2 linked regions of the Lytechinus pictus genome follow. The protein of the gene in region 1 interacts with the protein of each later gene in a pairwise test. Links are inferred from orthologs where the notes say so. Each region holds a gene or a part of one and is shown on either strand. Other genes may lie near its edges. The genes, in order: myotubularin-related protein 9-like and serine/threonine-protein kinase mos-like.

Region 1 (16,199 bases):
ATGAAACTAAATACTGAAAGGTAATGAATCTATTTCCGCTTAGACATCTGGCAGCCGTCTGTTTTGAGGAGTTTTTTAACATTAAATTTTTTTTTTAAATTTTTCCTGATACACAGACAGTTCGCTATTGTGTAACCCAGTGAGCTCCCGCCCGCACAGCCGGCGGGAGCCCAGGGGCTTACCATGTATTTGACCATAGTCACCGGACTAGGGTGATTTATTATGGTCTAAATATTTCTCCAAATGAATTGTGAAAACAGAAAGTATACAATTACCACGATTATATGGATGAAGGTCTAACGAGTGGTAGTTTCCTGACATCTGGGCACAGACTGGAACCTCAAAAAAACGAAAAGTTCTCTCCTTCTACCCAGTCTCGATCGGCCATTTTGTTACGATTTTTAACAAAAATGGCCGATCGAGACGGGGGTAGAAGGAGATAACAATTTCATGTAATTCTGCATCAAATTTACAAGACAAAAATTAATTGTTTATATTTTTTTCATTAATTAATTATGCAAATAAGCATATGAAATTTGCCCTAAATTTGTTTTTTTTTTAATGTTTTTGCCTAAAACTCTATTTATTAAACTAGTAGAATGCTAATTTTTGGTGAGAGTATCAATTTTCACATAACAAATATCCAACAAAAATTATTTATTTAATTTCTTTTTTTATTTGTATTTCTTTGTTTTTTCGAACCTTTGTTTTTTCCGATGAACTTTGTCGGGACTCTTTTGCGATCATAAATAGCGTAAAATAAATCAATTTGAACCAACAAAAGTAAAAAATAATCATACATTTATGACTTTTGGTTGAAAAACACAATTTGCATTGACCTTGTATATCGAATCACGTTTTTGAGCAATTTTGGGTCCGACATGCACGTACAAAATGTTGCGTAATTTCGAAACCGCACATACAGGCATCGCAAATTTGGTCTCAAATGATGCGCAAGACTTGAAAGTAAAAAGTCATCGAACAGTGTAGTCAAAAAATTTCACGCAACAGCGTAGTGACCAAATTTCTCGAGGGGGGGGGGGCTCAAATTGATCCCCCCCATTTGATTAGGGTTAAAATATTGCATTAGGGCCTCTTTAGGGGCCTACAGTAAGCCTTAAATGCGCACTCAGACCTAACTGATAAACAAAACAAGCATGGTATACAATACATGTTCAGAAGAGTGTGAAATACTTCATATATTTTTATTCATAATTATGTTTGGGGTAACTAGCCCCTTCAATTTTGTTCCAACTAACCCCGGAGGCCCATTTGACGTTCATAAGCTTACAGCACAAAAAAGGGACTTCACCATGGCTTATTAATAACCTCATTTTGAAGCTTGGTACAAGTGTCTGTCATACCCCCAAACTGGCCAACTTGATTAATAAACTTCTCTGAAATAATAAAACATTTCTGAAAGAGAAAAAAATTACTCTGAAGGTCAAAAAACAAAAATTCCTTTCTAACTTCTCCAGGCTTGTTGCACATGTTTTGTCTGTAATATGGTGGATGGCTGTTGATAATGACAATAAATTGAGGGCAGTATTGCAGAAATTTATTTAAAGACGTTGAAGAAAATTACAATGTTTCAACTTACCCCGCGTTCCAACTAACCCCGGTCTCCCCTACTTTTAAGCCCCCATTTTCTTCATTCGCCCATTAAATTTGATAAAGTACATTAAAAGGCCATATTTCTTAATTACATGTATGTCTTTTGTCTTGATTAATAATTAATTAGTAATTATGAATATTAATAGGTTATAGACAAGTATAACCTTGATGAACATTGACTAGGTAGACCATTAATACATCAAAATCATTGCACAAAAAGCTTTTAAAAAATTAAATGAAAAGCATACATGTGCATTCCCCTTAAGCTCTGTTGTGTGCCATGCCCAAAACAAAGAGAGTAATAAGATTACGCAATCGTCTTTTGTCCACAAAAAGCCATGTTTCTGTATCACAAAGATGACAATAACTCGACTTCTAGAAGTCAGAATTTGAAAATTCAATCAGTTTTGTGAATTGCAGATATTGAGCCTCATTGTAAGCATATAAAACATGCTGGAACAGCCTTTCCTAATTTTCACCTGAAGTGCCTACTATTAAAGGTCAAGTCCACCCCAGAAAAATGTTGATTTGAATAAATAGAGAAAAATCAAACTAGCATAACGCTGAAATTTTCATCAAAATTTGATGTAAAATAAGAAAGTTATGACATTTTAAAGTTTCGCTTATTTTTCACAAAACAGTGATATGCAAAACTCAGTGACATGCAAATGAGACAGTCAATGATGTCCATCACTCACTATTCATTTTGTTTTTCATTGTTTGAATTATACAATATTTCATTTTTTACAAATTTGACAATACGGACCAAGTTGACTGAACTATATAATATTAAACAATGCTAATTCCACATGTTCAGGGAGGAATATATCATTGTTTCACTTGACACTGAGGAGCAAATTAGAATATTTCATATTTCACATAACGAAATACAAAAGAAATAGTGAGTGGATGACATCATCAGTCTTCTCATTTGCATACCGACCAGGATGTGCATATAACTGTTTTGTGAAATTAAGCGAAACTTTAAAATGTCATAACTTTCTTATTTTACATCCGATTTTGATGAAATGTTCAGTGTTATGCTTGTTAGATTTTTCTGTTTTTATTCAAATCAAGGTTTTGTTAGGGTGGACTTGTCCTTTAAAGTTGAGACAAATTGAATCCAAATTTTAAATCGGTAGGATCCATATTAAAGCCACTTGAAAATTCAGTGAGTGTTCAATGGGTTTCAATTGGAATTTTGTGATTGGGCACAATTTAGCAGCTCTAGCACACATTAACTGTTGAATGTGCAATATGCTATGTCTAATGAAGGGCAGAGGCTGTCGGATGGTGGTGGGACTACATGTAGGCCGCTAAACATGGCGGTACATTTGAAGATTTTATGAAATATTGAGGTAACAGGTGAAAATAATTATAAACATTGCAATTAAAATATATTCGATAATTGATGAAAATTTCGAGCAGGTTACTCTATTATAAAGAGGAGACCTATTAAAGGACAAGTCCACCCCAACAAAAAGTTGATTTGAAAAAAAAGGAGAAAATCCAACAAGCAAAACTCTGAAAATTTCATAAAAATCGGATGTAAAATAAGAAAGTTATGGCAGACTGATGACGTCACCCACTCACTATTTCTTTTGTATTTTATTATATGAAATATTCTAATTTTCTCCTCCTTGTCAAGTGAAACGAAGTTTCATTTCTCCCTGAACATGTTTGAACCATTTTAGCCATTGTTTTAACAGTTTATGGTTAAGTTAAGTTGGTCCTTCTTGTCAAATCTGTAAAAATTGAAATATTGTATTATTCAAACAATAAAAAACAAAAGAAATAGTGAGTGATGGACATAATCGACTCTCTCATTTGCATATCACTGATTTGTGCATTTAACTGTTTTGTGAAAAATAAGCGAAACTTAAAGATAAATTCCAGTTTTGGTAACGATCTAAAAATGACTTTTTACAGAATCTAATATAATGACCACCTAAGTGTCTGTTTGTATGAATAAAAAATATGTGCCAAAGGATTCTGGAAGAAATTGTGTAATTGCTGAGAAATAAGCAAAATAAGCGCGGATTCGGTCACTTCCGTCGGGTCTTTATTTTAGCAATAATAATACACTGTCCCACGTGTGCCTATCTGTGTTGGTGATCTTCAGTGTGAACATTTTTCAGCGTAGATTTCAAGATTTCACAAAGTTCAGTTTATGTAACTGTACCAGATCTAGATCCTCGATGATATACTGACAATTAAGCCTTGTTTTACAGACTTTCTCATGAAATCAGTGTTTACTGCAAATACTGGAATTTCTCTTTAAAATGTCATAACTTTCTTATTTTACATCCGATTTCGATGAAATTTGCAGCGTTATGTTTGTTTGATTTTTCTCTATCGATTCAAATCAACAATTTTCTGGGGTGGACTTGACCTTTAAAGATGCTCATATTCAAACATCTAACGTTGACCACTTTATCAAACTGTCAAGGGGGGGGGGGCATTTTTTACTTGCCGTACGGCCGCCATAGAGGAAATGTGACTGCAGCATTAGGTATTTTTGATTGATTATTAAGCCCTAAATAATAATGAGAGAGAGCCAGCTGTGACATGTGTACTTAAGGGAAAGAACATTGATTTAATATCAGTGTGTAAACACAAGCTGATGCTGTGGCAATAGGGATGTGTTTAAACCTAGATCCTGTTCAGTGACAAGCAGTGTACATGTACGTACATGTATATGTACATGTAGGTACGTTTTAAAGATTGATTTTTAAAATAAAAATACAGGACGATGATATAAGCAATGTTCAGACAAGTGCCCTACTGCCCTGCATACATAATTGTATGCTACAGCTGATGCTGTATAATTAGCAGAAAGACGTGTTCAGACCAGTGTTATTTTTTAGTGAAAATGATATTGATTTGAATATAATGTGTAAGCAACAGCTGATAATATAGGTACAGGTAGGTGTTCAGACCAGTCCTGTGTAACGAGTGTAAAAGATGTTTCTGTTCAGATCAGTGCTGTAATATGTTGATTAAATTATAATAAAAATAGCTGCTGCTGATATACCATTACATGTTCAGACCAACCCATAATTTCTCTTCCTTGAGGGAGGTTCACATTATACAAGCTATGCTTTTGAGTGAATCTCCCATTTCCACAGATACCATTTTTGCTATTTAGATTATATATTATAATTTGTCTACAAAATGCACCATATTTTATATATTGTATGTTAATTATCATTGATGTTTTTGGATATAATTCTAATGACAATGATTTGTATCGTAAATATTTGTTATAAATGTATGAAAATGATTTGTATCAATATTTATGTCATTTCTGTTGGAAATAAATCTGAAATTTCTTTTTTATTCCAATGCGTAAACACTGGCCAGTATACATGTATGAGGACCATGTTTTCTTCGACCCAATCAAACTACAAATGTCACTATCAGTTGTAATTTTTAAAGGAAAATGTGTATATATAATTCTAACCAAAACTTTTAAATAATTTATGCATTCTATGAATAATTTTTTGTCTTATTTTGTTGAATCATCAATTGAAAATGAAAGAATAAACTTTCAAAGACTTTTATAGAAATGAATGAACTTTCCCTGAGAAATCAAATGCTCAGTCACTTACAACCTTGAATACATTAAAAGGAAGATTCCTATTTTTGAATGAATAATATTTTATATTTAAAACAAAATGATGGAGATAATACTGTAAAATAATAATAAGAGTTTTGAATAGGAAGTACGGGAGGGGGAAAAACACAGAAAGCACTTGAGAACTATTTTCCCCAGTGCTAGAATAATGAAGGCCATGATCAGTGCATGTATGAGGCTGTTCTCACTACGTTCCTAAAACTAGTTTACTGGAAACTAGTTTAGTGGAAACTAGTTTAACGCGTAGTGAGAACGGTCGAAGCGGTCTTGGAAGCGATCTTCCAAACCAGTTTGGAAAACCACCTCGCGATGTAGTTTTCAAGATTGCTTTGCCTCGTTAAACTGGTTTTTTTAATAGCGTAAGTGAGGACACAACCGTTCTTCGGGAAGCAATCTTCGCACATTTGGAGCACGCTACTCCACACGACAGGTGTAGAATGCCTACATGCATGCTGCGGTTTCGAATTTCGCGCGAAACTTGTCACCCCACTGAGAGCGTTTCCATAGCAACAACAGCGCTTTACGTGAAGTGATTTTGAAAACCACTTTCGTGTGATCAAGTGGGAACGCTAGCAAAGCGATCTTCCAAAGTGGTTTCCTGAATCGGTTTCAAGTAAACTAGTTTTAGAAAGCGTAATGAGAACGGCCTCTACAGTATGTCTGTCTACATGCAATCATTTGAATGCTATGTTGGAGAAAGACGTTAATATTGATTTTATCCTTTATATTGATTTTGACTCATCCTTTAGGTACAATGAATGATTTATTTTGACCTTTCACCCTGGAACATGGTGTATTTCTCTGGCTCATTGATGATCATTCTATTGTTGGCTCTGTTTCATGTCTGGATCCATTGATTCTTTTCTGTGTTTTTTTTGTTTATTTTTAAAATGATTTGATGGATTGAGTATCGGTACTTGTTCTGTGGAAGATGGAAGAGTGTTATGGGGAATTTGATCATATAGTTTTGTAGATTACATGTATGTCATGGGTTACCCGCGTGCCAATTTTTGTCGTGATCGCGTGATTGACGGCCGAGATCATAGGGGGCGGGGGCTAAATAAAAAAGGGATTATTTTCCCTCCATAGCCTACAAGGATAACTTATTCCATCAATGTTATCACAGCAATTAAAACGACTGGTTAATCTTTAAGAAAGAGTGTAATTTATACATTTATCTACAAATAATTGTGAAACTTTGCTATACTCCCAGCCCCTCTTCAAGTAACAGGGTTGTTTGATTTAAATCATGTCGATTTAAATCATGATTTAAATCGCGATTTAAATCAGTTGATTTTTTTTCAAAACAATCACTGATTAAAATCAACTTTTATGAAAATTTTTTTTCTCTATTGTATATATATATATGAAACAGATACTTTCAATGTAATCATTTTCATTTCTGTTCCACATGCTTTAGAGATACTTTAAAAGAATGATACACCCTCATGGAGTCTGATTTAACACCACTGTTTTATTTTCAAATTGTAAAACAAGCAAAACTGATGAAAACAACAAGTTTCTAACGAAGTAATGATAAATAACTCTCTGTATGTACACCAAAAAATTTAATCTTCAATAAAATAATATATAAAATCTACAAAGGTGGTCAAAGTCCACAACTTGGATACTTTTACAAAACAGCTGAACTACTTGTATGTACCTCCTTCTTGTTACTATTAATACCCATTCTTTCAATAATAAGTTGAAGGCATATGTGTACATTTGATAAGAATTACATGTATATTTGCATGCTTGTGTATTTTCTTATCAATACCCATACATTCAATTACACAATTTCAAAGTACACATGTATACTTAATAAGTAAGAATTTAAAAATGGGAAAGTTGCTTGGCAAGTGTTACTGTATGCAGCAATACAACTGCTGTGCTTGCTTGTTCATGTAATAGTTTGAAAAAAAAACAGCACATCAATGATGTGGTGGACAGTGGTGCTTATCCTGCATCTTGCAACGAAATTTATTGAAGTATTATTTGGAACTGAGGTTACACTGTAATGAAAACATAAAATGTGTATTTTGTTACAAGCATATCAGGAAGTGCCTATTGCAAATCTGGTTAAATATTACATTCAAATTAGATGTTAACGTACAGTTGTGACTTGCGAATGCTTTGTATACCAGATGTAGCTCTAGAGTTGCAAACCCTATTTCTGTGGAAACAAGTCTTATATGATAAAGCTTTACAATGACTTAAAGGCATTGGTTAACATTGTGTTCAGTTTTAAAAATCTGAGTTGCATGTTCTCACGTGTATGCTAACATGTCTATGGGAATATAGAAATGAAACAGAGCAAAAAATGCTTTAAAGTGTTATCATTTAGAGAAGCACTCCAAAAAAGTAAAAAAAATAAAAAATAACCTGTATATAATAAAGTGGATTATTGTGTCAAATAGTACAATACACAATGTTCAAAAGACTACTTGACCACTATTATTGGTGTAAAACAGTTTAAATATAGTTTAAAACTTGTTAAGTGTGACCATTATTTTTCGTTGGAAAAAAAAAAAAAAAATCTGATTTAAATCATAAAAATCCGATTTAAATAAAAAAAAAATCTGATTTTTTTTTATTTAAAAAAAAAAAAAAAAAAAAATCAACAACCCTGAGTAAAATGCATCCATGCACTGTATAGTTGAAAAGAAGCCAGAAACTTTACTGATAAAGACTGTACATTTTCTTTGATTCTAGATTTCAATTTCCCCCATGTAATCCACAGATTCAAAGAAAAAAATAAGGTCACTGGTAACTTTGTACATCCAACATACATGTACAAATCACATTTGTAGATTTTTTTGTCAATGCATGTGCCCTACCCATTTTTATAAATCACCCAAATTGAGATTCTCACTTAAAGATTTTAATTCCATGTGTAAACTGTCTAAACATTTTTGATTATCATCTCTCGACCTCTTCTCGTACAATTAGCTCATTACATGGATGAACTGTTGAAACTGATTTAATCATCATCTCTCAACCTCTATGACACTGTCTGAACACAATCACCTTTCCACAGGTGCTTTAGACATATTGACACATGTACATGTATGTAAATGTAACCAGCAGGGAGTTGGGAGTTTATTCTGAACTACACTGTTGGAATGAAGACAAATGAAGATGATTAAAATTAATCATCACTTGCGTGTATGTACATAAATCTATAATTGCCAGCTGTCTGAACACTCCCTGTAAACATGATCTGCTGCACCATGAGTAAACCGTCTAAACACACTGCCCTCGGGAGGCTTGTCTTGCAGACTGTGCACACATTAACATCAAGCCTCCTTCTTGAATTATAGGGATTCTATCTTTTTATCGTAGAGGAGACCGTGTTTGACGGTCAAAATATGGGATGTTTGTGCAATATGGTTAGGAATGGACAATGAAAAAGGTCAGTCGAATAAGGATTTTTGTAAAAATTTTATCTCAGTTTGTTTTATGTGGTCTCAATATTTATGTTTAGCAGCCTGAAGAAGCTACCTTGTCTGTGATGAGAATTAAGAAATTTCATCTTCACCTGATCTCATTTTGTTAAGGATTGATATATTTTCTTTGATTTTGATGGATTTCATATGTATACATGTAGTTATCATTATTGTTTTTTTATGATTGTTTGCTTTTGCCTTTTCTCCCTTATTGAACAAGTTTTGTTCTTGAATCGATAAAATGCATCCATACTCATCCATCCATCCATCCATATTGTTGGATCACCTGTTGTTTCATCCTTAGGGAGGTTTAATGTCACATGTCGTGTGATGCATGGGATTCGATGCCAGATAGGAAATTCATACTGGGTAATTATATGACACGGTCGTCAACTTTTATTGAATGAATATTACATGTAGGCTCCATAGTGTACAGGGGCCTACAGTGCATTCATGCTACATAATAAATGTCACACGAGGCATGACATTAAGTATGCCAACATTTAATTGTGTGCATGAAGTTCCTTTTCGTCAGAATATCAGATGACATAAGAACTTGCAGTGGTGTGATGAGCCAAAAGTTTTGAGGGGGCTAGATATGACGTATCGCACCAAATTTATAAAAAGTTGGGAGCGAGCAAAGCAAGCTAGCAAAAATTTTAATATTTTGATTGCAAAAATTAAATTTTGTGATATTCAGAAAATATCACATTTCATCCTTCTCTTTTTTTCTTTTCTTTCCTTTTCTCTTTGTTTTCTTGATCATGAAAAAAATTGGGGAGAGGGGCAAGAGCCCCTCCCCCCCCCCATCTGTATGCCACTGATAACTCTGTGAATACATGGTACACAACACATGCAAAAAGGGTTTTAGTCTTTTTTTTGTAATTAAGATTAATAATGAACAATGATCTGTGGCATAGATTTCAGAGCTATCGAGCAATTCCATATATTATCAACCTTAATTTTGTATGTTGGACTCCCATTTTTTTTAGTCTTTCTTCACTTTATAAACTGCCCAAGTCATGGTCCTTTGAGAAATTACAGACTATCAAAAGAACAAAAAATCAGAGACAGAAAACTTCATGAAGGTCCCATTGGGGGTCGGATGTACATATTATCTGGAATTGCCCTGTTTGTATTTTGATTTGATTTGTTCTTTTTATTAAATTTTTTTATTTTTTTTCAGGGGGGGGGGGGGTAGGTGCATTGTAGGAGTGAGATTCAGTGACATTTCAAATTTCAAATACAAAGACAAAATTAAATTTAAACTGAGTCTTCAGTCATCTATGATCAGACTAATTGGTGTATTGTACAGCAGTAGTGTATTTTTGAGGAAACATCAATATTGATTTTTACATTATAAGAATATTAAAGTAAAAGGCAAAGCGCCTTTTTATTGTGATTCCTTGAATTCAGCATTAGCAAGTCATCTGCAAATCTGCAACCTTTGAGAGCAAAAACACAATTACCCCCACTGCCAGGAAAATCCAAATTAAATGAGAAATATGCCAGTAATATTTACATACTGTAGCCTATGTATTCACTTTCACTTTCAGTGTATTTTTCTATTATTTATTTTTAGTATTGTACAGTAATATAATACCCTGTGACAATAGGGTGTCTACATACATGTATATATCTACGGAGGCATTAGTTATAAATAGCGTTTAGTCATTTTGGCTTACATTGATGATCTCCCTCCCTTGCCCGTTTCATGTAGAATTTTTTTTTTGGAGGTACAATGTAATATTAGTTACTATTACCCTGTGGTGATGGGGTTTTCTATCCATGTGGAGGCGTTAGTCATAAATAGCTAACAATGATTTTCCTCTCTCCCTCTTCCAGTCTGTTTCTTTGCCCCCAGGAAGCGAGAAATTAACCAACATTTCTAGTCATCACAAATCCTTGCTAGAAATAGACCCAGTCACGGCCCGAATAGTATACAGACAATGATTGTAGCATCAATCACCCATGATTGTTCCTGATACTTTCTATTTCTAGTGCCTCCTCCTCTTCATTAGTTTACAAGAGCTTGTTTTCAGCACCTTCATATTTTACTTGGGTCTGGAATTATTATCTTTCTAGATGACAGCTTGGCCAGCGTTATGCATTGTTTGTATAATTGCTGTGCACTCTTTCCTGCTTTTGATCAAAGACACTGTGTTTAATGTCAGACTAACACTGTTTCCAGATGTTGTTTTTGGATTGTGTTAAATTCGAAGAAGATCTTATAAACGTTCTTAAATAATAAACTGTAGCAATGGAGCCTACATTTAGTGAGTATCTGTTGTTATTTTGACATCATGCCTATGTTTGTTTGTTGGGGTTGGGGTGGGGGGTTATTGCAACATTATGTAGTGCTTTGGTTTTTTTTGGGGAAAAATAGGTAGGTGATTTCTATATATTGTTTGTATATTTTAAAGTACTTACTTTATTGTAATGTACATGTACATGAAATTAACAATTGTTTTGCAGTATTTTTTTCAGCCTGAAGACCTTTAAAAAAAAAATCAAATTACATGTATACTTATTTTTAAGGCAAACTTGATGTCTTTTTGTCCAGACGTATAGAATAGAATCACATCTATAAAACATTATCCATGATAATTTCTTCTGTGCTTGTTTGTGAAGAAGAAAGTGCTTACAACGCTTGCTATGTATTATGCGGAATTAGTTTTGAGAGGGTTTTTTCTCTGTATCAATTGTTCAAATCACTGCCGCAGCACTAATGAGGTGTTGTAGCTCAGTGGATAACTCTCCAGACTTTGAACAAGAAGGTCCGGGGTTCGATTTCAATGCAGCACTCCCGTCCTTTGGCAAGGTGTTTGCCACTCTCCACCCAGGTGTATTAATGGGTGCCTATTAGGGAGAAATTCCTTGAATGCTTGAATGTGAAGTAGTGTTACTTGTTATTGGGGATAGACCAGGGCCCCGTCTTACAAAGAGTTGCAATTGATCCGATCAATCGCAACTATGGAAAGCCAGCAAAGTCAACATATAAAATGCATGTTTGTTCAAAAAAAAATTATAGATATGAATGTATATCCATAAATTCATTGATATCTTGACAATTTGGTATGATCTCCTTTGTTTACAAAGGACATTTTGCAAATTTCCTGTAGAAAAAATTATGACACTGATGGATTTCCATAGAGTTACGATTGATTGGATCAATCGTAACTCTTTGTAAGACGGGGCCCAGTTTTACCTGCTTATTCACACACTCTTATTCCTCCAATAATTCTTTCCCGTAGGACATTCCCCTTGCCTCTTCTCTTTTATCCTCTTTACTTTGTTCACTGCCTTCAAGTCCCTTCTTCCGTACATTCTGCATTTTTCACTTTCATATCTTGTCTTCGATCTGGATCCTCTGGCCCGTATTCTGAAGTCGGGTTTAAAGTTGTGGTTTAAGTATGGACAGCCAATTGTTACATAAATCACTAACGGTAGAGATATCATATTCAGCTCATACGGCTCCCAAATAATAATAATAATAATAATAATAACATTTGTAGGGCGCTTTATACTGGTGTTTCAAAGCGCACAGGTTGGCAGATTATAATAGTATACAGTCAATCGGTCAAAAAAAAAAAAAAAAAAAAAAAAAAAAAAAAAAAAAAAAAAAAAAAAAAGTTAAGTTATGAGAAAAGGTGAGCTTTAAGTGACGATTTGAAAATTTCTACGGAGGGAGCATTTTGGATATGAATTGGGAGTTTATTCCAGAGGGTGGGAGCAATTACAGAAAATGCACGATCACCATATCGGGTCTTAGTGCGAGGGCCATGAATTAAATTATTGGAATATGATGAACGTAAGGATCTGACAGATGAGGAAGAACGAAGGGAAATAAGGTCTTGGAGATATTTGGGTGACATATTATGGGTAATTTTGTATACAATGAGTAGAATTTTGAACGTTATGCGAGAGTGAACCGGAAGCCAATGAAGTGATCGGAGAATAGGGGTGATGTGTTCGTGTTTCTTGCTCAAGGTTACCATTCTCGCTGCAGTGTTGAGGATTCGCTGGAGGGGAGAGATGGAAGAAATTGGGAGGCCGGCAAAGAGGGAGTTGCAATAGTCTAGATGGGATGAGACGAAGGCATGAATGAGTTTTTCAGTAGAGGCTTGGTCGAGTAGTCGCCTGACCTTACCAATCCTAAATAAACCCCATGATGCTGATTTGCAGATGTTCCTGATATGTGGCTGGAGGGTAAGGTGCTTGTCTAAAGTGACACCAAGGTCTTTGACAGAGTCAGACATCTTAAGTATGCCCTCTCCCATATTGAAGTCTGGCAGAGGCTCCGTAGCTCTAAATTGCGAAGAAAGATGTACCAGTTCTGATTTGGCTTCGTTGAGACGGAGTCTGTTCTTCGCTGACCAGACCTTGATGTCCTTGAGGCAGTCACTCAGTAGATTAACAGCATATGTCTTCTGGTCGGATGCCATGGATACGTAGATTTGCGTGTCATCTGCATACATGGCATAACTCACACCCCGATGGCTAGTGATAATTTTTGCAAGAGGACCAGTGTACAGAAGAAATAGGAGAGGGCCCACAACAGAACCTTGGGGGACTCCGCAGCTCAAAGCGAAAGGTGCTGAGAAAGTTCCATTGATAATCACCCGCTGAGTACGATCTTGCAGGTATGACTCAATCCAATTTTGAGCCGTTCCGGTAATGGAGTAGTCATGTGCAAGACGCTGGAGCAACACTGAGTGGTCTAAAGTGTCAAACGCCGCAGAATAGTCCAGTAGAAGGAGTGCAGCTTCGTTACCCTTGTCGACGGTAAGCAGTAGATCGTTGAGTACTTTCAAGAGAGCCGTTTCTGTTGAATGAAAGTTGCGATATGCTGACTGCTTCTCAGGAAGTAAATGATGACTGTCCACATAGCACATGAGCTGGGATGCGACGATTCTCTCCAAAACCTTGCTAACAAATGGCAGGTTGGCGATAGGGCGATAATTGCCAAAGTCATTCGGATCAAGATTGGGCTTTTTCAACAGAGGAAGAACTAGTGATGATTTGAATGATTCAGGGACAACACCTGTTGTGAGTGATGAATTGATAATGTTTATGAGAAGCGGTAGAAGTTCATCAATACAGTCTTTGAGCAACCAAGTTGGAAGAGGATCAAGACTGCAGAACTTCGGTGGTAATGACTTGATGAGATGGCGAAGTTGAACTTCAGTCACTGGAGTAAACTCACTCAGTTTGCAATTCAAAGAGCCCACAGGATGTTGTTGATCACTAGGAACGTCAGGTGCAAAAGAGGACACAATATCACTGATCCTCTTGCTAAAGAATTCACTGAATTTGTTGGCGAGATCAGAAGCAGATGAGTGTTCAGGATAAATGGAGGACTGAGAGGGGGTGGTGAGTTTCTGTACAATACTAAATAGCTGTTTGGAGTCGGCGTTAGCGATTTCAGATCTAAAGTATTTTGATTTGGCATCAGTGAGGAGATTGTAGTAAGTTTCGCATTCTTGACGATATAATGTCTTATCAACCTGCAGGCCAGACTTCATCATTCGACGTTCTGCGCGTCGCCTCAGTCGCCGTGCCTCCCTAATTTCAGCAGAGAACCAGGGAGCTTTTGGTCTAACTGTAACAGTCACAGTCTGCAGAGGGGCGTGCTTGTCCATCAGTTTACCAAGACAGTCGTTATACAGATAAGCAGCCTCAGATGGGCAAGAGGGAAATTGAATGGAATCTAAGACATCTTTAACATCCAGACTAAAAGATTTAGGGTCAATGTTAGAAAGTTTCCTGAAAGTCACTTTCTTCTTGGGGTTTTGGGGCCCTTTGAGATTAATAATACATATAATAGCAGAGTGATCAGATGGCAGAGATGGTAAAATGCTATGCTGGGAGATAATATCTTCCGAATTTCTACTAAGGATAAGGTCGAGTGTATGACCAGCCTTGTGTGTAGGCCCGTTGATGTGTTGTTTGAATCCAAGGGCTTCCACTCCATTAAGAAAAGATCTAGCAAAATTGTCTGAAGAATCATCCACGTGAATATTAAAGTCACCAAGAAGAATAGGAGGATGAACATCCACAGCAGCACTTTCCAGAAGAGTGAGAAACTTTCCAGAAGAGTGAGAAACTCTTCAAGAAAATCACCACTTGAAAAAGTGTGCCGGGAGGATTGGGGTGGGCGGTAAATGCAATACAGTTTAACAGGAGATGATGGGGTAAGATGGACGGTTAGATCCAAAAATTCAAATGAGGAACAATTGAAGGTTTCATTTACAACACAGCGTGCTGTGGACCTGTAGAGGACACATATACCTCCTCCCCTAGTCTTCCTGGGACGATTGATAATGTTGTAATTTGGAAGGGACAATTTCAACTGCGCAATAGTAGGGTCATCTCTGTGATCACCTGAAAACCAAGACTCAGTGATAACTAATACATCAATATCATTATCTATGATCAAAGAAGTCACTACATCAATCTTGTTTGTCAAGGATCGTGCATTCCATAAACCTAAACGAGTACCAGTAGGCCTCGAAGGAAGGGGATGCGGCCTTGAGACCATACGCCTGTGTCCGCGATGAGTAGGACCATGTCGGCGGATACCAAGGTCACAAATCCTTTTCCAAACAGTCAGAGGAAGATGATGAGAAGGCTTCCTATCTAACTGATGGAGAGTAAGAACATCATATTGAATACGATCTGACTGTGAACTGTTACAATATTCATTAAATTTAAATGAATCAACATCATAGCGTGGGCCTGGATTCATATGAATATCACCTGATAGTAAAATGGCTAACTGAAAACAGGCACTTGTATTGCTATAGTAAGCAATAGGCCTACTACAGTACTTCAGATGCCTGTATACAGGAATAACAGAACATGAATAGGTAACTCTGGCATCAGAAGGCAGAGTGAATACATGGTTAATATTCAAAAGAAATACAATCAATGATACACAAAAGAAGAACCTAAGGAACTTAATCCCCTCCATTGTAGATGGAATGTCACTACTGTCTGTGATTAAAGAGGCAGAAGTGAAGTACAAACTGAACTGCCTGAACAATAAGTAAAATAGACAGTGAATAGAGGCATGAGTGTAACACAGGACACTGAAAATGGCAGTGTTGAGCAAGTTCAGATATGGTACATAAAATACAACTTCTCAATACTGAGCTTACTCACCAAAATATTGAATAAAAAAAGGTCTAGCAAGATCCTTGACATATACAGAATGCAGTGTTAACAACTAAATTCAAGATAACCTCAAAATAAGGCAAAAAATCAACAAAATGAACAGGCGCACAAAAAAAAAAAAAAAAAAAAAAAAAAAAAAAAAAAAAAAAAAAAAAAAAAAAAAAAAAAAAAAAAAAAAAAAAAAAAAAAACATTCATAATTGTCTAGGAAGTATATATAGATTATTGTCTTCACCATCGATGAATCAGGAAAGAGCACAGTAAACATAAGAAACGTACAACTTAATAAAATAAATGATACTTTTGGCTTCCCATACTTAAACCACA
Region 2 (16,127 bases), on another chromosome or scaffold:
ACATATGAAATAGACAAACATGATAAGAAAGTACTACTTGTTTTTTCAGATTTATTTTAAAAAGAGTTAATAGGCCCGTTAATCATGTCTCGGAATATTTTGCCAAATTAGATTATATCCTTCATTTTAATCAAACGATGATATTCCAGTTTACGTATAAAAAATATTTTTCCCTAGATTGTTTTGACAATATTGCATTGGGAATTATAAATAGGCCATTGCCCAGGTAACTTACAATTATAAAATTATTATAATAATCAATTAATCATAACCATGATTTTGTTGACATATGAACAAGACAGGTGTTTGACCAGGGAATACTGACTGATCTGTTCTGATATCCGTATAGATCAGTGCCCGCAGGCCCCGTTTTCACAAAGAATTGCGAGTGATCAATACCTTCTATGGATAACCAATAAGCTTTATTTTTTTTCCGTCAGAAAATGCACTTTGCATTTGGAAACAATGAAATTGAAATATTGATTAGTTCTTGTTGCTTTTATATATGCACGGTTACCCTGTAAAATTATATTTTAAAAATGTATAATTAACGGTAATGATTGGTAATGGTGCTGTGCGTGCTATTGATAGTTTTGTTGATATGATCAAACGCAAAACTTTGCAAGGCGTGGCGCTGGAGTGAAGTATACAGACACCCCAAAATTGCAATTAACAATATTCAACTCGAAGGCACCGTTACCTCGTGAATATAGCACGTACCATTAAAAGTGTTTGTTAATACTAATAATTTTTTTGTCAGAACTGAGTTAATGAAATTGCAAATTTACAAAACACCCAAACCTTTTAGTTTTATACAATCATTTTTTTATTCAAAGCAGATCGATTTGTGTAGCCTTCGTACTCGCCCACGCAATGGTGCCTATTCTGTTTCATACAATATACTCCCACGCCCGGGTCCCACGCCTAGGCCTATTTTAACATGCCCTCTCCTTTCTTCAATTCATTATCGACAGACAAGCTACTCTCTGACAGTGTTTCTCTGAAAATACTCGAACCAGAACCCGATACTACCAGCAACGATCCGTTTTAGAGGTTACATGCATATTAAAGTCGCGTTTACATTATTTTGCATGTGTTCATTCTTTCGGTTCACGTGTATAGTATATGCACTGGGTGTGTCCATACAGATTGAATTTAATGTCTACTATGAACAAGGTATGAATAGCTGCTAAAAATGATATGGCATGGTCACAATCTCTACAATTACTAACGAACCATACAATCCATAATCATGGTGTCCAACATGACCTGAAACACAGGTTGAATAATGACACGAAGAAAATGGTATAGACAAGTAACGGACAATTTGTTTGTATTGACACACTGCAAAACACTGTACATTAATTAGAAAGAATCAAGTTAAATACCAGTTTGAATATGAAATACCGTGCTAACGTAAACAAACGAGTTTGTGATGAAAATACCGATTAGCCAGCGTTTTTGTTGCTGCTTATTTCAATTTTGTATTGGATTCAAGATTGTATTCAACATTACTTTCCGCATAGTCAATATCGGTCAGTGATATAGAAGTATCAATGATCAAAATAAAATATATTAACTGAACACTGAGAAATTGCAGTTAAGCAAGAATATCATTTATAGCTGATGTGAGGGAACAACTTCTTGTTTGACTGTGGTAGGCATAATAGCCTATAACTTTCAACAGAACTGATATTAAAAAGGGTATTTTTAATGGTTTTTAAGTTGAACCGGCGTGAACAAAAGAAACTCGTCGCTTAACACCATCACCCGCCATCCAACTCCCTATAATGACGGCAATTAAAACATGTCGTGTGAAGTCAACAAGTCTTTCTTTTAGATGTTAACGAATTCAGAGTTAATCTTTTCTTTAATAAAAAAAAAAGATAAAGTGTGCCAAAAGTGTAGTGGGAGTAAATTTTGATTAAACTTGGAACTGAAAAGAATATATATTCACTCTTTTTAGAATGACCCAATGATCAATCAAGCTGGACTGATGACTGAAGTCAAGAGTTGAAATTATAAACATTCACTCCCAATTGATATAAGTCCACAATTATTGAAACTTTGCTCCTTCAAGTGTGAACCTTTCAAGGATTTATTTTGAGTCGTAAAGTGGACCTGAGATAATTATGCCAGTATGAGCAACCGGGGAGTAAAAATTAAAACGTGAACTACGACAATGTTCGGTCAAGCGGGAGAGCCCATCCGAGATAAAACTTGAAGTTCATTAAGATCAAGTCTGAGAAATAATAAAAAAGAATGAGTTATGTGAATGTCAGACTTCTAGGTGCTTTCTCTTAATTATGTAATAGTTTATATGCCTCGCAAAAAGTTGCCAATTGATGAATTAGGATTCCTATTATACTTGTCCTATAAATTAACATCCAAACGACCATCTAACACTTCCAAATCTATACCTTCTTCCTCTAGCTATTCTCATGATTATGACGAGATTTGAACAAAGTTAAAACGAACATTTTCGTTCCCTACAAACTTAAACATTAGATCAACAATCATGACATGATTAACGGTTACAAAAATATGATCACAATGTATATTTTTTCCGATTTTTTCTTTCATTTCCTGTTTAAAAAGATATACACATATGGTATACAAACGACCGTGTAGGCGTCTTTGAAAACAACACTTCATGGTAAAAAGATATTTTGGAAATTAATAAAAAATAAATAAAAAATGATTGATTGCTTCACACGATATCATGCAAATCGAGAAATTGATTTGTTTACACAAGACCTTGGGAACTAGCTCAGTAACCCAAATTCAAGCAGAGCTGATATTTTCTTATCCCGATGGAAACTCGTTTTAAACTGTGCATAGTTACTTCTGGTATGTTGAATATCATTAATTTATAGTATTATATTTTAATTCATTTTCTTCGATAAGGGGTGGAATTTAGTGGAAATGATTCAAATATTGCATAGATTGACGTCATCCACTTAATCTGGCTATAGGCCTATTCAAAAGTTCAAATAAATATGATAAAGTGATTTGCAATGAAAAGCTCGATTGATACAAAAAAATATTTTTACTAAGCATAAAAAGGTAAGTAGGATTGATTTGGGGAGAATTAGATTTTAATAGAAGAATAAGCAGTCAGGTGCCCGAGTGGAATACCATTTGGATCACAATGCACAAAATGTTATCTGCGGAAGAGCCAATCATTGCGTCTGCAAATTTGAAAACATAACTAAGCAACCGATAGCCCATATATGGAAGACGATAAATTACCATTAACAAATACTCGAGAGATATTGTCTTTTAGTAGGGTAGGAAGACTGCATTCATATTGCTTAGACTGGAATTGTGTTTGAACTGTTTCAATTATATCACGATTTTTCCGATTGATATAGACTGTTGATATAGTCATTCTCGTGGGTCCCTGCCCAACATGTATGAAAAGTATCTACCATGCAGTTAAATCATGAATATGTAAAAATTACAAGATGACAATATTGCACTCCAAACCTTGCATGAGTGGATCGAATTCCTTTGATAATTCAATGATCACCCCTTGAGGATATTGAATTCTACGAGAGACAGTTCGTATCATTCCTCACTATCACCATTGATTGGAACACATACTCATTACAAATTGATCAAACTAACCTAATTATGACGTCATAACTTTATTCATCTTCATCAAATCCATGAAATAGATACACCCGGACTGGTTACCCCCGGACTTGCCTTTTATGTACCAAGTAATTTTTGTATGATGTCATGGATCTATGCAGATCTCAAGCCACATGCTTTAGTCATCATAAAGTTGCCATAAAGATCGACGATAACAATAACTCCATAGGGAGTATTTCAACACTGGCAGTCAATTAAAATACAATATCAAAATTATTACAGAAGGATTTAAAATAAAACAACGTGTAATATTGTTAAATACAAATTAAGTTAACAAAATCAGACTATTAATCATGATTATGGAGACCTTATTATGTCATCAAAGTACAATGTGACACATAAATTGCAATAACTGAGCTTACATTATTTGTATAAAAAAGCTGACCTCGAGGTCAGAATGGTCTACAATCATTGTACAACAAATTATATTTTGCAGAACCAACTCGAGGTTGACGGCATCGATGAGATCAATGGAATGTCATCCAACGTGACTGCCACTGGCCAAAGAGGGCAGGTCAATGATGTCAGGTGCGAAATGAAATCTTGCTCTGAAATTCCCAAACTTCAACCATCAATTAGCTAACAGTGATAGTCAGCAGTTAGATGGGAGTTCGGTCGTCGGCACGGTCGTTCAAGCGACGTCATCGACACCGAGTCGCATTTCCAGCTCTCTCATGATCTCCCTTGCAGTCGGTCGGTCTTCGGGTTGTTTCGGCCAAGCCTTCGTGATAAGACGGCGATACCAGTCGTTTTCTATCTCGTTCTCGTTGTCGGGTAACTTTGGTCGCTTGTCCTTGGCGACGACCCCGAAGATGACAACATGATGATTCTCCCCTGCGTACGGCGTCTCTCGCGTTAACATCTGCCAAAGTGTGATCCCAAACGAATAGATATCGGCTTTGGTCGTAGGCGCGTCACCGCACAACAGCTCCGGCGCACGATATCCGCAGGTACCGGTTAGGTAGGATCGATTTGTAGGGCTTCTGAGACCTTTGCCATTCGAGCCAAAGACTTGTTGAGAACAGCCATAATCACATAGGCGACAAACATCATAATCGTCGACAATGACATTCGCTGGCTTGACGTCCAAGTGAGCAATGTTATGTGCGTGGGTATATTGCAAGGCACGGATAATGTGAAGAGCGAAATTCGAACGGCGTGCCAGCGGCAACCTCTCTGATGTTTCGTTGATCAGTTGTTGAAGGTTCCGCTTCCCCGCGTACTCCATGATGATAAAAGCACCAGCGTCGAAGTCTTCGACGGCACTTGTGGCTAGCACGTTGACGATGTTCTCGTGCTTTAAGTACAGGGCATTGACTTCCGCGCGAAAGCTCTGAAGCATCGCTTCGGCATTTGTCCTTCGTGGGCGCAGTACCTTGACGGCCACTCGTTGACCGCAGTACTTCCCGACAAACACTGATCCAAACCCGCCACTGCCAATCAAACCTTCCACATGAAAGTCGTCCGTAAGAAGATCCCGTGGCCTCACTGACACAGTATCATTGTTGTTATCCGTGACACAGTGGTATGTTGTCCTTGACGCATGCTGGTGCGTTATGATCCTAAACTTTGAATTCATGAGTGACTCCTCCATCTGAAATTCACTGTCTCCTTTAAGAATAAAAGCACTCTGTAGTCCCACTGATTTTTTCCTCTTGTTGGAATTGTGACAATATACCTCTGCTGAGTGATATTCTCTTGTCTTAATCACACAGTCAGTGTGTCTCCTTCGTTTGAGATGAAACGTTTCTGAATCACAATCTCTGGGCGCTAAAAGGTTTTCAGTGGATATTGTCCTCTTCGAGCGTTGCAGGTATGCCTGATATATCCGCAGAAAGGCGAAATGCCGAGACAAAAGCCTCAGAATAACTTCGAATATTTTCGTCATTGTTCTTTTCAGCTGTGACTTCCAATAACTCGAATAGAAAGGCACAGCAATGCGCTGGCAATTGTCATGTCAATCGAGTGAGAGTGAAAATGGTAATTGATTGTTAAGAAAATCTCGGCATTTTGCGAGGCAAATGTATATGCTTCTGATGTGCATAACGATGTAAGCAGCGACAGGTGCATGAAGTGGTCTAGACTTTTATTGATTTATTTCAGCCTACCCTGGGCAACCAGGTGTTATTTTGTTCAAAAGGGAGCGCTTGATATTCCCATCATTGCAGTATTGTAAATTTGAAAATAAAAGTCATGTTAAAAATACCACAGTCATTGAAAGAAAGAGATACCGCAATCTGCAATTATGACCTTTGAAATATCAATTTGAAGATTAATTTAGGAGTGTTTCATGACTTCGCTGATATTTCTGTGTCATACTCATCTAACTGTCAGGGTATGCATGGTATGCTAGCTAATAACGCATCTGTGACATCCAAGATATAAGAAGTCCGTGTTTCCTTTCACATAGAGGCAGCAGTAACAATGATAAGATTAATATTTTTCAATTAGGAATGCGATGCCAGAAAAGGGATGTTATCCAGTGTGAATTACAGAAAAAGTTCCAGAAATGACGACAGTCATTTATGATGACAGTGTCGAATGTACGATTAGGACATAAATTCCATAGAATAGGATCAGTTTGTCAAGATAGTACTCAACTCGAGGAGTTCGGTCTCGAAAATCCATTTGCAAATTTCCTGTCAATCAAAAGTTCTCATTGCATTTAAACGATTTGTCAGCGGCCCATGTATAATTTCGCAAATTAAAATGAATGATGCTTAACCATGGGATGTTAAAATGAATAAATTACATTTGAAATGATCAGTGTTTCCCGAGTAAACATGGAACCACTATTATATGATCATTAGGTCAAATGGGCAGTAGGCACGGGGAACCACTCTGAGTACATCCATTTCAATGTAATAAAAGTGATGAAGAAGATATATTATCCAAGTTCGTCCATATTCGACTGGTAGAGAGACAAATCCGGCAAATACTCTGCATTGCTTTTATTCACAGAGGGAAAATATTACTCGTCACCAAAGAATAAGGATCTTGAAGACATCTTTGCTAATCATTGTTGCGTCACCTCGTTGATATTATGATCATTGTGTCTATGGTATCTCTGAAGAACTCAAGTGGCTCTGGAGGAATCTTCTGAAACTTGATCCTGGTTGAGTCTTCACAGTAAAGTTAGATCCGTCACAGATTTGCCTCATTGCAACCTCCAAAGTATTTCCACCAGCCAGGATTGCAGTAAAGCAAACACACTTTAAGCGGCTAGATATGGTTAATATTACGAGTATACAATTGTGGTACACCCATAACATGAAATGTAAAGTAAAGGACACTCTGTAGAATGGTCTGTAGACTGGTAGAGTAGATCTCGGTACTTGAGGCAAGCCAATGACATTTTCAAGTTAATACCGGCAAAGCACACCCATACCCGTCAACCGACAGGCGTCGAATAGCAAGGGAGGCACGTTGGTAGTATAATGTGTATGCATTTTTATTATTTTTCTTACTGTATTACATTTCAGAATTGCTTTTCCCTGTGTATCAGTAATTGTGTTAGATGAGTAAAGACCATATGACAGGCAATACCAGCATATTTCATAGCGCACAAGGGATCGATTACCTATTATATATAGAGATTACAAGATAAAGGTGCGTATACTGTCGCTATCCGGGTAATATTTTTTTCTTACCATATTTAAGTTCACAGAATAATGACAAAAGACATGAAGAACGGGTCAAGAAAAGTGGTCTTTAATTCAACAATAATGACAATGGTTGTTCAGTTGACCCTAATTATGATGGCACATTAAATCTTTTTTTATCATTGGTAGTGCTAAATCGAGTAAAATGATGGAAAAAAATATTTGAAAAGATGAAAGAAATGAGGGGAAAAAAGAAACTCAAGAGCAAAAGAGCGAAGCGACCGAGCTTGTCATGGAGCGGCTTTTGCATTTTAAAAAGTGAAATTGGAGGATTTCGTGCATACTTTTGGTGAATTGTGTAATTTTTTTTAAATTTAAAAATGCAAATTTTCAAAGTGCCATTGAAATTTCGAAACTACGAGGGGGCCCAAAATGTTGTTTGCAAAGCCATATATGCAGTAGAGGGGGGGGGGGGGGTGTTGATCCTCCCTACGCTGCGTATGGCCATGGCATTGCAAACGAACATTAAATTTTAGGTAACCTTGTTAACCTTTTCAAAATATTCAATGTCACCGCTCCTCCCCCCCAAAAAAAAAATCATGGTCAAGGCTAGCCGAAAATAAATGGATAATAGGGAAATCCATAATGAAATAGAAGGGAGATCGGGATGGTGAGAAAAAAAAGAAAGAGAGAGAGAGAGGGGGGGGGGTGAGTAAGAAGTATAGAGGCAAATATTATTATACAGCTATATGCATACGTTAAAAAGGATATAAAGGGGAAGCAAGTACGATTTCTTTTCTTCTTCCCATTCTTCTTTTGCTTTCTCTCTTTTCCCCATTTTCTCCTTTTCTTCTTCGTCTTCTCCACCACTTTTCTTTCTTTCTTTCTCTCTTTTTTATTCTTTCATTTTCTTTCGCTTCTTCTTCATTTTCTTCTTCTTCTTTCTTCTTTCTTCTTCCTTTTGCTTTTTACTCCCCCTCGACTTCCGTCCTTTCTTTCGTTGTCTCTTTCTCTTCCTCATTATCTCCTTCTTATTCAATGTCATTCATCTTTTTCTTTCTTTCTTTATTCCTTTCTTTCTTTTTTTCCTTTCTCTTCTTCATGATCTACTCCTTTTCTTCTGTTTTTATGGGTTTTTTCCTCCTTTTCTTTTTCTTCTCTTTCCCCTTCTTCTCTATATTCTTCCTGATTTTTGCAGATAAACATTATTCACAAATACCATTTATCATCTGAGCCCACAGGCAGAGGATATACTTCCAATAGCCTAGGCTGGGGACCATTTCATGAAAGTTAAAGTTGTCAGCACTGAGAAGTCAGTGCTGTCAACTTTCATAAAACGCCACACGGAATGTTAATTTTCGATTAAAGATGAATACTGAATATTCTTCCTTCTATAATTCAACAGAAAGTAATTGATTGTTGATCTTCTTTTCACCACAAGTCCATTAAGAGTACATAAAAAAACTTATTCAATCGCATAGGCGGATCCAGCTTTTGGCGAAAGGGGGGGGGGGCGCACTACCGAGCGGCGCACATATTTTTGCACTTCACCGGCGCCATTAAAGAAAATGTTGAAAAAGGGGTAAAGTTTGACCCTGTCAAATGCTCTTTTCAAAATGTAGGATTTCCAGTCATGCCATTTTGCATGACCACACGCAGATAATATTTCCGGGGGGGGGGGGGGCAAGACTCGAAAATTTGGTGCACATCTCACATTTGCAAATTTTTCATAGTTTTCATGAAATGTTAAGGAATTTTTTTTTTCACAACAGCAGATCGCGAATGTGCCCCCCTTCCCCCTTGCTGCGTACGACCATTCCCTGAAGTCCACTTCATATCTCATTATAACAGAAAATATACATCAATTTAAACATATAATCTTTCTAAATCATATATAGATAGAGATTGAAAAACTTATTAAAGAAAGAAACAAGCAAAAAGTAACACAAAATTATGCATGTTATGTGCGATTTCAAAATCTCGTGTATTAACCTTTTTTTTTTACTATATGTATATATACATGTATATATATACACAGGGGCGTCGATCCTTTTTTAAGATTAGGGGGGCAAAATCATGAATCAACTTTCCAAAGGCGCTCGATATCACACAAAACAAACAAACTCACACAAACACACACACACATATGCATATATATATATATTTATATGACTCATGAGATAGAAACACATATCTCACCAACAAATTAATGCGAGCGCGAAGCGCGAGCTGACATTTTTTAGTATATTGACCTGAAAACAGGAAAAAGGTGCCTGTTTAGGACTGTTTGTAGTAACTCATGAGGAGGATACATATCTCACTACACATGCAGATAATGCGAGTGCCGAGGGCGAGCTGAAATTTCTTTATATTCTGACCAGAAAGCTTGATATTCTATGCATTTTTGGTACCAATGATTAAGATGGGTATCTAAAAGAAACAATAGATGTTAAAATTTTGATATTTCGATCTGAAAAAAATGACAGTCTAATGGACGTTTGTAATAAAGAACAAGATTATATCCAGCAAAAGATTATTGCAAATCGAAGCGGGAGTTCTTTTGACGTTTAGTCCTGAAAATGAGACATTCTATTTACCTATTTAATCATGAAAAGTATGGGGTTTTGCTACAGAAATGATGCGAGCGCGAAGCGCGAGCTGAAAATTTTTATATTCCAATCTGAGAAGCGGATAATTTAAGGACGATTTTAAATAAAGAACGAGTTGTGTAGCTCTATCTCAATATACGACTGGTTGCGTAATTATACACTTCCGGTACTAGCAACGGGTTTTAGCAAAGTTTTGGGCTAAAATATCGAATCATCTTCATAAAACACTATATCGAAGCTGTCTTAAACTAAAGGCCCATAGAGGTGGCACAATGTGGAATGTGTAAAGAAGAAAAGTGACTGACCTTCTTTTTATTAAAGCATTGGAAAATAAGATAAAAATTAAAGGATTTTGCACTACGCTTTTGTATGATTCTGGGATTTTTTAAATAAATTAAAGATTTCATGACATCTGTCATTCTGTGGGCAACTGCCCCGCCCCAGTCCACTCTGTAAGGGCATGCGATAAGCTTTGTTATGACCATTCAACAATAAAATGTATAACCAGCTAGGTGCCGCTGATCATTCTTGACCGGCGCCGATCTAGATTTGGTTGGCAATAGGCCCTTCTTCTTTATTCTACCGGCGCCTATTTATTGGAACCAGGGGACGCTGATTATTCTTGACTGGTGCCGATTTTACCGACGTCACGTAAGATTCAGGCAACGGCAATTCATAATTGACTGGCGCCGATTTAGAACCAGGAGGCGCCGATTATTCTTGACTGGTGCCGATTTTTAACCAGGTGGTGCTGATTATTCTTGTCCGGCGCCGATTTAGATTTAGGTGGCGCTGATTATCCTTGATCGGCGCCGGTTAAGAACTCAGGCAGCGTCGATTTTTCTGTACCGGCGCCGATTTATAACCAGATGGCGCCGATTATTTTTATCTGATGCCGATTTAGATTTGGGTGGCGCAGATTATCCTTGATCGGCGCCGGTTAAGACTCTGGCAGTGCCGATTTTTCTCGACTGGCGCCGATTTATAACCAAATGGCGCTGATTATTCTTGTCCGGCGCCGATTTAGATTAAGGTGGCGCTGATTATTCTTGATTGGCGCCAGTTATATGCAGGCAGCGCACTGCTGATTATTTTTGACCGGCGAAGTTGTTGGGAAAAGGGTAGTTAAAAGAAAAGATAAGGAAGATATTATTGTGCTTTGCTGGGGGATAGTCTTTCCTTACTGTTACTAATACTATATCAGTGTAAAATTTTTTTAAGCGGCGCCTTTTCTTTTCTTTCTTTTATTTTTATTTTTTTCAAGCAGCGCCTTTTCTTTCTTTTACTTTTTATTTTTCGGCGCCGCTCAAATATTAGGGGGGGGGGCGCGCGCCCCCTGCGCCACCCCCCTGGATCCGCCACTGAATCGACTGGAGAAAAACAAACAAGCAAACGCACAAACAAACAAACGAACAAACAAACGAATTCTACACTCTCATGACAGCCGATTCATTTTTATGAATAGAACAGCTATTCAATATTTTCTTAATCCGAAACTCGTCATTCTGAATAGATTACAAGTCATCTTAAAGAGATTATATTCACGCTGACATACAAAGTTCCAAGGATTTTGAATAGATCGGGGAATCAAATGACGTCACAAATTATCGTCAGTTTCATTGGTGGAAAGTAGTGGTGACGTACGATCGAACAAATATAAAATATAGGCGTACTCTCTCAAATTCTGGATGATTGATAACGCTGCCGGGCGGAGGTCAACATTTTCTGGTAAGAAATCGAATTTAATCTTCTTTGTTTTATAAGATCCGTTTACAGTTTTCAAAGAAATTGGATCATTAACTAATTTAGCATTTGCGCAGCGTAAATACCCCTCCAATTTCACTGCAATTTTACGCCTCAAAATCAAATCAATTAGATCTACCCGATCACAGAGCGCAGACGATGTAACAGTTAGGCCTACCCTAACCCAGGGAGCTCCCGCCCGCGCAGCGGGCGGGAGCCCAGGGGCTTACCGTGTATTTGACCATAGTCACCGGACTAGGGTGATTTATGGTCTAAGTATTTCTCCAAATGAATTGTGAAAACAGAAAGTATACAATTACCACGATTATATGGATGAAGGTCTAACGAGTGGCAGTTTCCTGACATCTGGGCACAGACTGGAACCTCAAAAAAAAGAAAAATTCTCTCCTTCTACCCAGTCTCGATCGGCCGATCGAGACAGGGGTAGAAGGAGACTAGAGAACTTTTCGTTTTTTTGAGGTTCCAGTCTGTGCCCAGCTCCCTGGGTTAGGCCTACCCTACCTGTTAAATATGTCTGATTCAGATCAATCAAGACAAGACTTAAACTTTCAAGTGGCGAATGTGAGTGTGTTGATATTTATTTCTGTTGACTTACAAGTGATTTTCATTTTGAGGTAGGCCTAGATCTAAGATAGATCTGAAATTATTAGCTCTGAGCTAGTGAGTTTGAGTGGTCCTATCGTGCAGTTCCATGACTTCAGTCCCACCTGTGGTAATTGGTGTATGTTGATTATGGTGGGTCATCGACAAGCAAAACTCTGCGCTTGTGCGGTTTCGCACCTCATGTGAGCTGACTAAATAAGCCGCTGCTATGCTACTGTGAGTGTGAGGTTTCTGTCAGGCCGGGTGCGAAACCGCAGTAGCGCCCAAAACTCGTCAAAAAATCAAACTTAAGTCTAAACGGTGAATTTTCGTTCCAACTAACGTTACATTTCTTGGTATCATTGTAATGTTTTAGGGGTCTAATTTATATAATGTTTCTAACTTCAGTCTTGGGTTGAGTAATGACTAATGTGCCTCACTCAAACATGGTTTTCTGAAAAACTTAGGAAAATTTGACAGCAAGTAGTTAGAAGATATCGTACTTTCTTGGATCATTGAAGATAAAACTTTCGTGCCTGGTAAATTACAAAATCTTTTAACTTGCTTAATTTTGCTGTCAAATTTTCCTATTTCAGAAAACTCTGTTGGGGGGGGGGGGGCACATTACTCAACCCAAGAAAAGACTTTCACTGCGCCGAGTCTCCACAGCCCGAACGCTATGCGTTCGGGCTGGCGCAGTTATATAACAACCTATAATTTAGATTTTTATGAGCTGGGATATGGGGTTTATTAATTTTATTTGGTTATGTTATTTTCTACGATTTTATCATTTGTACACCCTATAGATCTAGCTAGTTGCGTCTTTGAGTGTGAGACATCAAAAACAAACATAGGTAGGTTTATATATATATAATAGTGAAAAGTAACATTTTTTTTTTTGGGGGGGGGGGCGTTTAGAGACCTTACGAATAAAGACTTATTTCAACTTCGTCCATTTGCTAACGCTACGCGTTCGGGCCGGTGCGGTTAGGTTTACGCCAGAAATATTATGTAGAATTTCTGTGAGAAATTAGCCTACCTTCTGTACATTTTTTTTTCTTTTAACTTTGTCATGATCTCAGACTACTGTACTGTACTCAGAATTTCTGTAAATCCTAGATTGTTGAACTTTTTTTTGTACAGTAAATCTAGATTAATTTCGCTTTCTTATTCTATTGCAGATCACGGACGATTTTGTAACACAAAAAATGAAAGAATGTGACCTTGAAAGATTCAGTCAGAAATTTGAAGGTAACTATACATCTTATGTAGCATGTAAAATCCATACATGTGTAGAATCAAGGACCCAAGGCTTGTAATAAATACTATTGATTGTGTCACATCTTCAGGTCATATCACATAGATACATGTACATGGGTATTTCCACAGTAAAAGGGGTCTTTTCAGGAATCAGGTTATTTTAATTTACTGTATGTTTCCATTGTGCAATACCCCCCCCCCCCATACAATATTTTAGAACACTTCAATGAGAGATAACTTTGCTCAAAAATTGCTTCAAACAGGCAATCAATTAGAATTTTTGACAAGATGATTTTTTTTTTTTTGGGGGGGGACGTATGTAACGCTGGACAGAAATCTGTGTACAAACATGAAGGTCAAAATATAAATGTTCAATAAAAACTTGCCTTTTTTCAACTGAATGGCCTGATATTGATTAGAAGAGATAAATAACATCAGCCCTAAATTCTATTGAATACTGGGTTTTATGCCATTTATAGACATAGTGGTGAACGTACGTAACGTGGACAGAAAATGCGACATTTGTGGATCGAATCATCCAACTACATGTACTTCCTCAGTTTTTGATCAGTGTGCATGACAATTGGCACACACATTGATCTTGGGTGAAGATGTACAAGACACATTTTTTTAATGTGTTGGAAACTGTACGCATATCATTTCAATAAATCAGGTAAAATCTTGCGATTGAACTACTTCCTCAGTTTTTCACCATATGCTCATGAGATTTGGCACACTTATTGGTCTTGGGGTGAAGATAGGCAAAACAGAGTTTTTGAATGGGTCAGAAACTGTGTTGCCATGGTTATGGCATATGAAAATTCCAGTAAGTAAGGGACGTGATGGGCAGGGGTATTAATCACATTCAGTGATATGTCTAATTTATTATGTTGTAACAGCTCTTGCATTGGAAAATAAAAAAAGTGGAAATTACTAAGCCTTTTCTGCAAAACAGTTGATAATTAGAGTTGTACTGTGTCATTTTCTAAAGATTGTGTTATACAAATGTGTATTTCCACCACTTAATTTGCAGATAAAGAAGTAGACCAAGTTGGACTGTTCCTTTTCAATGACACAAGCGCTAAAGAGGTCATCGCCCAGTGGGACCAAGGCTGAAGTTTTTATCAAAACTGAAAGAGCTTCAGGTATGTATGTGCACATAACTATATTAATTTTAGTTAAATTAGATGATCAGTCATTCAGCTGGCTTTGGCACAGTTACATTCTGTAGGAAGGCTTGTTATAAATGGTAGAGTCTTGTGCTCATTGTGTTTGCATTAGAACATAATGGGCAGCTTTTTCCAGTACTAACCCTACAGTGTCTTTCAGAAAATAATTTTGAACAGCTGTTCACTTGCTATCAGTTTATGTCCAACATTCTACAAAGTAAGACTTGCAATATGATTGATGGTAAAAAAAATATTTTTCATATCAGTTGAGGTGATCTACATCTCAAAAATTTGTGACATTTTCAGCATAGAATTTACGAAAATGACAAACTGGCAATTTCATGGGCCCAGCCGACGCTGCTAGTACCGGAGAGCAGGTAAATGTCTTGTGCTGCAGCCAAGGGCCTCTGCACCGTTTCCCTCATTCCCTGTGCAGTTTTTGTAGCTCCAAAACCCCTACATTTTGTGCTTGTTGGCTCTTAAGACCCTCTAAAATTACATTTCAAGGCCTTTGTAGCTCCAAAGACCCTATATTTTGTGCTTGTATTTTTGTGTGCATTCTTACACTTGCATACTATGAATCAGATTATGATAGTAATGAACATGATAGACATTCAGGTTTGATGAATGAAATTTTTTGTATTTTTCCCCATCTAATTTCAGATGCAGAGAAATGTAACCTGTCCTTTTTGGTTCTTCCCTTCCTATTTCCACCTGGCCAAATCAGAGGAAGTAAGTCTTCCAAAAGCAGATATGATTGTGCAACTGTTCAGGAAGCAAGTGCTTCATTCATACAACGAAGAGAAGTGAGTATTGCTTTCTATACTGTACAAGGTAGCCCGGAAAAAGTGGCAGTCGATTTTCGATATCTTGGCATGTTAGAAATTCCTTTTTATTGGACTTATATTAGTTCGTGTATTTCATGCTAAAGAAATGACACCTGCTTGTAACTTCCCTGATATGCCATGCATTAAAAAAAATGACACTGTTTCCCTAAATACTAAAATTATGTATTGATAGAAATCATCTCATAAAATCTAAACGTCTTAATTGAGTTTTCATCTTATTGGCAGTAAAACTTGAATGCAAATGTTTTAGCCATTAAACTTTTAAAGTCTTATTTCTGTCAGTGTAAATTTGTAATTTACTATTGTTTTCTTTTCTTTCTTTTTTGTGTGCTTTTGTTATTGCAGATTGGAACAAACATCCCACAATTCCTGGAGGAAAACAGGCATGCGCAATCATTTGTCCTAGCCCTTGGCAATAGGATGCTGGTTCCAGAACAAGTGTTTGTCATCGTGGAACAAAGTACCATCCCTTGATCTGATCTCCTTCAGGGAGTAGACAGATGCTTCAAACTTATCTACGTTTTTGAGCAGGACATTTTACTTTCCGCGGTCTGTGAAACTTCTTCTTTCTAATGGCATAGGCAAAAACCCAAGTTTGCAATAAAATAAACCTATTTTCAGAGAATTAAGAGCACT

Evidence for each region.
Region 2: the proteins of myotubularin-related protein 9-like (region 1) and serine/threonine-protein kinase mos-like interact in binary tests that used the Homo sapiens proteins (3 or more experiments, as listed by UniProt). The link is inferred for Lytechinus pictus from reciprocal best matches to the Homo sapiens genes MTMR9 and MOS.

Annotation. Positions count from the first base shown.
Region 1 is NC_087253.1:7,992,098-8,008,296, forward strand, and holds the start of myotubularin-related protein 9-like, read left to right. Parts: upstream 1-8,632; 5' UTR 8,633-8,647; coding exon 8,648-8,663; intron 8,664-10,613; exon of another isoform or gene 10,614-10,957; coding exon of another isoform or gene 10,958-10,973; intron 10,974-16,199. UniProt on the Homo sapiens protein: Acts as an adapter for myotubularin-related phosphatases. Increases lipid phosphatase MTMR6 catalytic activity, specifically towards phosphatidylinositol 3,5-bisphosphate and MTMR6 binding affinity for phosphorylated phosphatidylinositols.
Region 2 is NC_087261.1:11,519,152-11,535,278, forward strand, and holds serine/threonine-protein kinase mos-like, read right to left. Parts: upstream 7,033-16,127; 5' UTR 5,546-7,032; coding exon 4,289-5,545; 3' UTR 61-4,288; downstream 1-60. Other genes in the region: uncharacterized protein LOC129268848, read left to right, coding at 14,544-14,619, 15,307-15,449, 15,837-15,965.